Linked DNA regions of Saccharomyces cerevisiae S288C. The gene in region 3 interacts genetically with the main gene of each other region. Each region holds a gene or a part of one and is shown on either strand. Other genes may lie near its edges.

Region 1 (2,819 bases), on a different chromosome or scaffold from region 3:
AAGTTTTCAAGTGCTTGGATTTACACTATTTGAGGTTATTTTAAGAGATGATCTTTCAAGGGTTTTAAATATTAATTATAATATTATTTGGTCTTTTCTTCCGGCGGGTTGAAAGTTCCAGCTGCGGGAGGAAGGTAAAGTACTCCATTTGAAAAAATAGAAATTACAAGAAACGGCGTTAGCATTGGCGTATGCCTAAATCATCAAAATGGCGAATGAAATAGGTTTCCCTGAAAACATAGAGATGTGCTGCCCAATTACAAAGCTCAAAAGATACATAAAAAGAGGAAAAACAAACCTGTAGTTAACTTTTCCCTACTCTTTGATAACTGATGTTTTAGTAAATATTCTGAAAATAGAGGGGTAAATATTTAAAAATGTTGTATGGATCAATTACTTTTTATACCTTTTATGATCCAGTTTAAAAATATGTATAGATAATCGAGAATATGCAAAAATAAAAAAAAATACAAATGTGTTTTGCATTAATTCCTCTTCCAAAATGATAGAAAAGAACGTAAAACAAATAAATAAAATCACTCAGCCGGTTGGATGTTTTGGCTTCAATTAGGTTTATCTTCTGGTGGAGTATGATCTTCCAATGTAGGTCCTAACAACGGAATCTTTTTGTATAGCGTATCTTGAAACTTAGGCCATCCTTCTGTGAATACAAATAGCCCAAGCATGCTAGCACCACCCCATAACATTAAATTCGGAGCATAAGCTGTTAAACTTCTTAAAGAAAGTCTACCGAAATGTAGACCAGTTTTTGAAGACAGATGAGAAGTGTACTGTATTATAAATGTTAGTATACTAATTCGGTTCTAGCTCACATAATATGATAGGATACTTACCGCCATTGAGGTTAGTTTTAAGTCTTATGGATTGTATTTATCGATATATTATTCGACTTGCGCTTTTGCTGTGAAGATTATTCCAGAAGATATCTATAACAAATTATGCATTCAAACTGTTATGTGATATATCCCGTCCCCTTGATAAATGGTATGGTTTTTTGATGCGGAAACAACGGGTTGAACCATATTTAGTTTTAATTGGATCAAAATCACGTGACAAAATACTACTTTGCAATAGTAATACGCACTTGAAAACTATGTAAATATAAGTATATATTCAAAGTGCGACAGCGTTATATCGCATAGCATTCTTCAGTCATTAGAGGTAGTGGTGAAGATTGAGGACAGTTTCGCGGCTCGTAACGTTAGCAAAAACTACCCATAACTAGGTGCATATTACACTGATATTAAATTACAGAGTGAGAAATCGTACTAGTATAATTAAAATAGAATGAGAAGCCTAATTCTTTTGGATTCCATGCTTTTTATAAGCCGGAATAGAAAATTTTTCAGTGAATGTCTGTCCTGGTAAAATCGGGGCAGTTTCCAAAATGCTCCTGATCTGTTCTTCATGCTTGTCGGTCCCTTCAGGGATGTGCTTGTAAATATAATAATCTAAATCCTCACCTGGCTCTGCCCTTCTAAATAGTTTTGAATGAAATTCAACGCCGTCTTCGGCCCTCTTTTTGGCCAGCTCTCTTTGGCGGTTTTCTATCTGAAACTTTTCTTCTGTAGCTACTTCATGGTCACGTACAGCCAGCGCATCCGTAACCTTCTTCCAAAGCCTTCTCGATTCGTATTCTCCCTGTTCCTCCAATGGGCGGACTTTAGGAGCTAGAGGAAAATGCTGATGAGTATCGAAGAGAACAGTCTTTTTAGAGCTTTTTTCCCTCAAATCTTTGATATACATAATATCATTCCACTTACCACTAATTTGGTAGTATTCCTTACCATCGTAATCCTTAATTGTACCTTCAATTGCATCATAGGTACCAGAAATAAAGCCCTTTGTTTTGAACTCAATATCCACTTGATACTTAGGACCCATAATGACCATGTGATCTCCCAATTCAATCCTCATCTTGCCAAACAGAATTCCCCTTGCGTAAACATTTGGTTGCGATAGAGTATATTTCTCTGGTTTACCATTTGCATCCTTGATATCAAGGAATTGCAATACAGTTAACCCCTCCATCATTGCAGCACTTGAGTTTCCTAAAAATTTCGATTTTGGCACAACAACTCCATCAACTCTAATATTCGATTCTGGAATCATGTAAAAATACGCAGATTCAGGAGGATGGTGACTCGTTTGTTCTGCAATGTAAAAGGCTTGTTGCTTGTTAGGCAAATCCCAATAAGCTGTAAAGTGTTCTCCAAGAATGGGATTTAGGGGCTTCTTCACAGCCCTGGGCCCAATGTGCCAACCTGCTAGGTACCATGCTACCACTTTAACGAACCTTTGCAGCCCGTCTTTATTGGAGTGTGCTTCTAAAAGAACATCTGGGAATTGTAATTGATTAGTGATTCTCTCCAACATCGATTTTTTTTCCAGAATAAATGTCGGAAGTGTGATTCTAGATAAATCACAACCTGGCTTCAGCTGGGAAATAATATTTAATAGAATACTTTGCCCAGATTCATCATTCTCATCGATATCATCCGTGTCTGCTCCGCTTGGTTTGGAATTTGCAGCATTGGATGCAATGCCGTTAATTGAGCTATGAGAACTGTTTGTTAAAGAAGGTATATTCTTTAGTTTATTGAGAGCCATTCTTTGTTTCTAATTTACTGGTTAGTTTCCTATTTCTAAATGAAAGAAGGAGGAATCTTTCCATTTTGAATATATCACATCCCTTCTTTGTTGACGATTTCAGAAAATATACTTTCATCCTTTAGAATTCTGGATTTGCGAGTGACCTCGGAAAAATTAGTACGCACGAGCGAATTAACATTCCTATA
Region 2 (3,762 bases), on a different chromosome or scaffold from region 3:
AATGTGGTCTCAAAACCAAAGTGTTAAACCCTCTCTTAGCCCTCCATTGATTCAAAGACGCGACATTTGAATACAAATAGTACAGGTAATAGGAATAAGGAGGGTTTTGAGGAGCCTCCCAGAGTGATGGCTTGGGATATTTCCTATGAAAGCGGCGATCAACCTTGGATTCATCATCGACAGAATCAAACCCAATTACTCTCTGTAAAAATACATGCAATTTTGGATGAGACTGAGGATTTTTGGTCACTTCAAATAGTGGCTGAAACAGATTCTTACAGATGTCCTGGAAGCTTTGAACAATGCCAGTTTTCTTGTAAATATCATATAACCTCGGAATTTGGACTAACCAACGAACATTATGGGAAATAACTTTGTTGTCAATCACCCAGCTAGCTAGTTTATCCCATTCATCGAGAGACCTGCCATAAACAGAAATTCTATACTCACAGTTTTGGTATTTTGAATTCTCTAAATCGAATATGACTTGTTTGGTAATGTCAGCCAAGTAGGTACCCTTGATGTAGTTGTTTGTCTTCAAAAAAATTTCTCTGAGACGAGATTCACCGATAGGGTTATATTTTAAGTTGAATTTATCGAATCTGTGGAATGTATCCTTATGTGCATGCATATCTAAAGTATCGATGGATAAATCATATCCAGTCAAATGCAAAGAACGGAATACTTCGTCTAAAGTTAGTAGTTTCCCGTCCCTGAAAATAACCTTTTCATCTTTGGAATGTCTCAATTTGTGTTTAATGAAACGTAATAAGTGCTTTTGGTTCATACAAGCAGAATGGTGAACGTGAGTGTCCACTTTCCTAACATTATAAAAATCCCTGTGTGGGTTTCTTTTGGAAACGCTAGTTTCTTGATATTCGTTCAAGAGATAGTAAAGATTCCAGCGTGCTTCTAGGTATTGCAGCCTTCTATAAGCAAATGATTTAGCGGGACCGTCTGATGAGATGGAAATCATTTTTTCTAGATCCAGATAGTAGTCACGAAGGGTAGGGATTTGAGCAATTAACTCATCCGTCTTACCTGATCTGTGTACCACGTACGAGTCGTCATCGTTGAGGGTAAATTCCCAATCTGGATCCTCACCAGGAATTTCACATTTCGTAAAATCGAAAACTTCCGCATCCGGCTTGTTTGTTACTGGCACAACAGTCTTAGTGTCTGAGTTGTATGAAGGTTTAGGTGGTGGTGGATAGACTACCCAGCCTGGCTTATTTTTTGGGTTTTGATCATCGTTTTGCACAGATATGGTCTGATATTTGGCTCTCAAATTTCTACACTCTGCCACTTTGGAATACAAGTCAATCAACTCGGAAGAGGGATCATCAAGAAACTGCTGTGAAGCATCATCAGCCAACATTCCCATTTTATAGGAGGCAGAGGTACGTACCTGCTTATTCACTACCGGAGCGCCGGCAAATGACTTGAGCGTCTCTGGCAAGATATGCTGAGCACTAGCAGACAAGGTCCTCGGTTTACCCCCGGAATTTTGAGATGCATGGTCTGCCGAGTCATGGCCCTTATTCATCGCTGCTATGTTGGAAGAGCTACAATTGGTAGAATGCGATGGTTGCTCCAAGATGGCAGAGTGAGAATCATGCTCATCTAGGGCCAACTGTTTGGTGCCATTTTCCAACAACTGCTGATTCTCGTGATACGAGAAATTAGCATTCCGAGAATCAGCAGCTAAACTTTCGTGTGAATCTTGCTGCTCTAAGGGGGGTGTCTCATCATCCACTACGACACCAGCTTGTTCATCACCAATCTTTCTTTGATCTATGTCAATGACTAGTCCTGAACCATCTTGTTCATCGTGTGAAGGAGCTGGTTCTAGAGAAAGGTCGTTAAGCCTCTGTGTAGCCTGATTGTCCATAATTTTTTTTAGAATGCCCCCTTTTTATTTGTTATATAATTTATTAATCTGGCGTACTAGCAGTTCAATCGAGTTTTGCTGAATCAAAATTGGCTATAGCAGGGAGACTATAATAAAAATACTATTAATATCCGATAATTGACTAGTATACGAGAAACGCTGCTAATTCTGCCTGTAGAGAGAGAGAAGAAAAGTCGTCAAGAGATGCCTTTTTTTTTTTTTTAAAATTTATCTATTTTTTGATAATATCCTTTAAACCTTGTGCTACTAGAACTCCTTTCTCATCATCGCCAGGCGCAAAAAAAAGATGAAAAAGGAATGAAAAAAGAAAAGAGAAGACCCCCACGTGCCCTAAAAATAAAGTTAGGGCATCTATAAAATAACTAGGATATATATATTGATCACCCTGAACGGAAATCAAGGGTTTTAAAGAGCCCTCAAAATTACTGTTTTAGGAAGCCCCCTTTGTTTTTGTTTTGGTTTCAATTTGTGGTGGCTAATCTGGACATCGATCTACTTGTATAGCTGTCAATATACTATGCGGAATACATGGAAGAGAAATAGTCCTCAGTCATTATTAATAGTAGACTGAGACCATACGGAGTGAACGTAGAGGCCAGAACAACAAACAGTAGAACGGTAGCAGTACTCAGTTAGTGCCGCGATGAATAGTGACTTGGAGTATTTAGAGGACGGTTTTGATCCGAATTCAATGAAAGTTGCGACTTTGAGGAGGATATTGGTAGAAAATAATGTCGATTTCCCATCTAATGCTAGGAAAAATGCGCTGGTGGGGCTGTTCGATGAAAAGGTTAAACCGCAGATCCCGCAGTTACGGAAAATGTATCTGAACGTTCGGCCCAGCGATGAAGGTATTGTGAAAATGGACCGTCCCTCATCTTCCCCATCTATAGCTTCCCCTCGTAGAAGTAGACGAGCTCGCAGGGAGAAATCTGCTTCCCCCATGGCCAAACAGTTTAAGAAGAATAGAATACTGGATGATGTAAGTAATGATGATGATGATGATGATGATGATGATGATGACAATGATAAAAAAGACGATCCTTTAATTGTACCTAGTGGAACGGATACCGATGAAGTGGACGATGAAGAGGATGATGTGATAACATCAAGCTCCAACAAATCAGACACCAATGATTTCCAGCAAAATTCCGATACTCGTAAGAAAAGGAAAGACCCTGATTCTGACGACTGGTCTGAATCTAATTCAAAGGAAAATAAAATCGATAATAAGCATTTGAACCTCCTATCATCAGATTCAGAAATTGAACAGGATTACCAGAAGGCAAAAAAGCGTAAGACGAGTGATTTGAACCAAGAGCATGGAAATGGCTCTGCCATTTTAGGAAAACTTTCCGTCAAAACACCAATAAAGAACACAAATAGAAAGCCAGTAAGCATGGATAATTTTAACGATTCGTTGACTTCAAGCGGTACGGAAAATGATCCATTTGTACCGAACATACGACACAATCCAAAAGAGCTCGGAACTGCCAATGGAACAGGCCATAGCACACCCTTGAGTAAGTTAAAAGTTTCTGCCTCATTTGCGGATAAATTGCCTCAAAAGGAGGTACCATCTACAATACTGGTTCCAGAAGTGGAACAGCAAGAACCTTCTCAGAGTGAAAGAACACCGTCTTTGTTTTCGTCCGAAGGCTCTGGCTCAGAGTCGGAAGCACCCTTGCTTCCAGAGATCACCACGCCAGGTCCTCATCAGCCTATGGGTAATACCAGCAATAATGTGGTCGAAATGATAGATACAGATAGTAGTAACTTGGTATCGGATGAAGATGAAGTTTTAGTGCCTACAAGGATCGAGACTCCCCAATTACCCACAGAGAAAGACG
Region 3 (3,762 bases):
GAGGTTGAAACAAAATCAAAGACTTATACAAGAAGATCACATACAAGCATTTATTCACATTACTTTAAGTAAACTTCAGTAAACTACATTACATCATAAACAAAACATGGCTAAAGAAAGTACGGGATTCAAACCAGGCTCTGCAAAAAAGGGTGCTACATTGTTTAAAACGAGGTGTCAGCAGTGTCATACAATAGAAGAGGGTGGTCCTAACAAAGTTGGACCTAATTTACATGGTATTTTTGGTAGACATTCAGGTCAGGTAAAGGGTTATTCTTACACAGATGCAAACATCAACAAGAACGTCAAATGGGATGAGGATAGTATGTCCGAGTACTTGACGAACCCAAAGAAATATATTCCTGGTACCAAGATGGCGTTTGCCGGGTTGAAGAAGGAAAAGGACAGAAACGATTTAATTACTTATATGACAAAGGCTGCCAAATAGGCTATGTCGTCGGAGGAGATATTTATTACTTTTATTATTCTAGTTTTTTACAGTTATTTATTAATTAATTATTTTTATATGCATGCGAATAAAAAGTCTATATTTAAGTTCTTTTATTTATTAATACATTTTTTTTTGAGAGTCCTGTGTAGCCTATTTGTTCTTAGATGCAGATCCTCCTATAAGACATAACCTAGGATGACACATAAAACAGTCAAACGCCAGTTTGCCGCTACGTTGGCACCTGCGTTATTACCGCTCATTGAGCTTGTACTGCTGGAGGCGCTTCCGCTTACAGAAGATGTTGTTTGAGTTTGGGAAGTGACGGAAGAGGATACGGAGGATACGACTTTATCTCCGTTCTTAGTAGCAGTAGAGGAAGAAGAAGAAGAAGAAGAAGATGATGATGATGATGATGAAGCGGTGGAACTAGTCTTACTACTCTTCTTAGTTGAACTGCTGTGATCGGATGACGTTTTGGAGGAAGAGGTTGCAGTTGAGGAAGAACTCTTTTGGGTGGAAGATGTGGTAGCTCCCTTATGTGGGTCCAAGCCAGATCCCTCATCACTGTCCATCATGACCTCATCATCGGTAATAGCAATGTCTTTGGCCAAAAATTCACTGGACGAAGTATACACATAAGCAGAAGTACCATTCTTCTTGGTATCGCTTGGTGGATCATAACATGTGATATTAACTTCATTGACAATAGCATAATAATATCCTGGGTTGCTGATATCGGATGCGTCCCAATTAATTTCACCACCAGACCATGCAATGGTTCCTGGAGCGTTGGTAGAATTACCACCTGGCCAAATGGAAATATCCACCTTGGATGGGGTTTGTGGGTATTGATATTTTTGGGTGGTGGCGTTATAAGTTTCGTTCTTGTACAAGGTTCTACCGACGACACCATCGATGGACCATGTTACATAATCTTCGTGCCAATCTAATTCGTAAGTATGGTAGTTTTCAAATGTATCAGTAGTGGAAATATTGGCAGAATTCGTGTAGTTCAAAACACTTTCCCAATAGAAATTGGTTTGAGCAGTTTCTAGATCAGCACCGACGAATTCGTAATCAAGTTCATCACCTGCGCCGGAATACAGAATGAACCCAGTGACCACACCAGCAAGATGTGACGTCTTTATTCTAGCACTGACCTTACCATACCAAACAGCCCTCGTGGAGGAAAGAACGGTACCACCACTGTTCTTGGGCATCGCCAAAATTAAACTTTCTTCATCATCATAATCCAAAACGTCACCAGTATACAACCAATCAGCCTCACTAACATTTCCTAAGAAAGTGTTAGCATTCCCCAACTTAGAGGAATAATCTTTGAATTTAGTGGATGAACTCTTGCAGATAGGTACAGGCATACATGAATCATGACTAAACGAATATCTTACATCACAGTTGTTCAGACAATATTGACCAGTACCACATTCACCATATTGTGAGCAACATGGTTTATCTTCGGGACATGCTTGAGTTGCATTGCAAAATGTAGCGGCCTCTACACGTACCACGAAGGAAAAAATACTGACTAAACAAATTAGCCAACTATTAACGATTGCCATTATTAATTATATAATTAGCTTATTTGCAGGACAATAAATAGAAGTTTTACAAAGGGAACAGGGTCCAACAGAAACCATAATCACCAGGAATGTTGTTCTTTTTATACCTCAGGCATGTTTTAAAAGCCTCTTCTGCAGTTTTAATTTGGAAACTATCCACCTTGAAGATTCCCACTAAATCTTCGAAGGACGACGATTTTCTTCGAGGTTGAAAAAAGTTTTTCAAGAATTTTCGCGCTTCTTCCTAATCGGGAATTTATCTGTCATAATTATAATTCCCTATTTGGGAATTGGAACGAAATATATGCTACTATTTTAAAAATTATTCTGCACCATTCCGGAAATAACCTTCCGGTGACTGCAAGTTAGGCAACCTTATCATATGGTTAACTAGCATAATTACAAACGCGCATGAGGAAATTTAGCGAAACTACCTGCCAAATGCGGCGCTCTGGTTCAACTGTTTCATTTCTCCATTTTGTATAGCTCTACTGGATCTTCTTCGACACTGCAAACGACGCAAGAGCATTCTTGAAGTAAAAGAGGTAAATACAAAGCTGTTTACAGGCTCATCATCCATTATGAACCCTTGACTACGGAAACGCAGGATGTGGGAAATCGTTAGATTGCAAAATGAGCCTGACGAGTCCGTTCAACAACTATTTCTGTTTCTGTTTCCGTTACGGATTTCCTCTCCTCATCTTGTGCATCTGAGCTTATGCATGAACTCTCGAGGGGATTACTTATGGTGTCGTTTCCATTTTTCGATGAGTCTAATCTATATTTTTCTTGATTTTTTGGCGAGAGAATATGTGCAAATGGCTTCTGCTCTTCGCGGTCATTCCAATTAAGATTTTTACTGATACTTTCAAAAAATTCACTGGCAGATGACTCGATAGTCGGTACCGAATAGGGGCTTGCAGTTATCACAACATAGTCACCCTGTTTCAATTCAACTCTATCTTTTCCGTCAAAATTCACCCACGACGTCCCTCTTGAGTTCATATCTACTCTAACTTTTAATTCCATGCTATCTGGTAAAATTATAGGCCTAAAGCTCAAAGTATGAGGACATATAGGCGTCACCGCTATGGCATTTACGCTTGGCGATATTAAAGAGCCTCCTGCACTCAATGAGTATGCCGTGGATCCCGTAGGCGTGGCAACAATCAATCCATCTCCCTGAACCTTAGTCATTAGTGAGTCGTTTCCATAGAGTTCTAATAGGGATAAACAAGGAGCTGGACCTCTATCTATGGTTACTTCGTTCAATACGTGATGTTCGGAGATGAAATCGATGTAACATATTTTTCTCCCAGTTGCGGCATCAATTTCTGGTTTATTTCTACGGTAGAGTTTGCATTGCAACCTCATTCGTAAATTAATACGAACCTCATCTGTTAAGATATGTTTCAACGTTTCTTTGAAATTTTGAAATTCAAAATTTGTTAGAAATCCTAATGATCCAAGGGCAAATGGAACAATCGGCGGAACATCTTTCGTGAATATAGATGAAGCAAAAAGGACAGTTCCATCACCCCCTAGTGTAATCATCAAGTCAAAGAATGAATCGTGTTTTTTAACAAATTCTTTTGACCAATACTTTACTCTGTTTTTACTGCAATTGCTGTCTTTGCAGAGGTCACCAACAGCAAACTGAGTTGACTTTTTAAAAATATCTTGTACATATACAGTTATTGAATGGAAATTGCGTAAGATCCATTCCACCAC

The links.
Region 1: mutations in UTR2 (region 3) and QCR10 together harm fitness more than expected from each alone (negative genetic interaction), as found in Saccharomyces cerevisiae (2 studies listed by BioGRID).
Region 2: mutations in UTR2 (region 3) and AMD1 together harm fitness more than expected from each alone (negative genetic interaction), as found in Saccharomyces cerevisiae (2 studies listed by BioGRID).

The regions. Positions count from the first base shown.
Region 1 is NC_001140.6:105,867-108,685, reverse strand, and holds QCR10 (ubiquinol--cytochrome-c reductase subunit 10), read right to left. Parts: upstream 861-2,819; coding exon 855-860; intron 792-854; coding exon 564-791; downstream 1-563. Other genes in the region: oxysterol-binding protein related protein OSH7, read right to left, coding at 1,318-2,631.
Region 2 is NC_001145.3:206,970-210,731, forward strand, and holds the start of AMD1 (AMP deaminase), read right to left. Parts: upstream 1,892-3,762; coding exon 1-1,891. Other genes in the region: SRC1 (Src1p), read left to right, coding at 2,556-3,762. UniProt on the Saccharomyces cerevisiae protein: AMP deaminase plays a critical role in energy metabolism.
Region 3 is NC_001137.3:76,322-80,083, reverse strand, and holds UTR2 (chitin transglycosylase UTR2), read right to left. Parts: upstream 2,032-3,762; coding exon 628-2,031; downstream 1-627. Other genes in the region: CYC7 (cytochrome c), read left to right, coding at 107-448; YEF1 (NADH/NAD(+) kinase), read right to left, coding at 2,653-3,762. UniProt on the Saccharomyces cerevisiae protein: Dual chitinase/transglycosylase that plays a role in cell wall architecture. Chitinase and transglycosylase activities are coupled. Required for the polysaccharide cross-linking at the septa and the cell wall.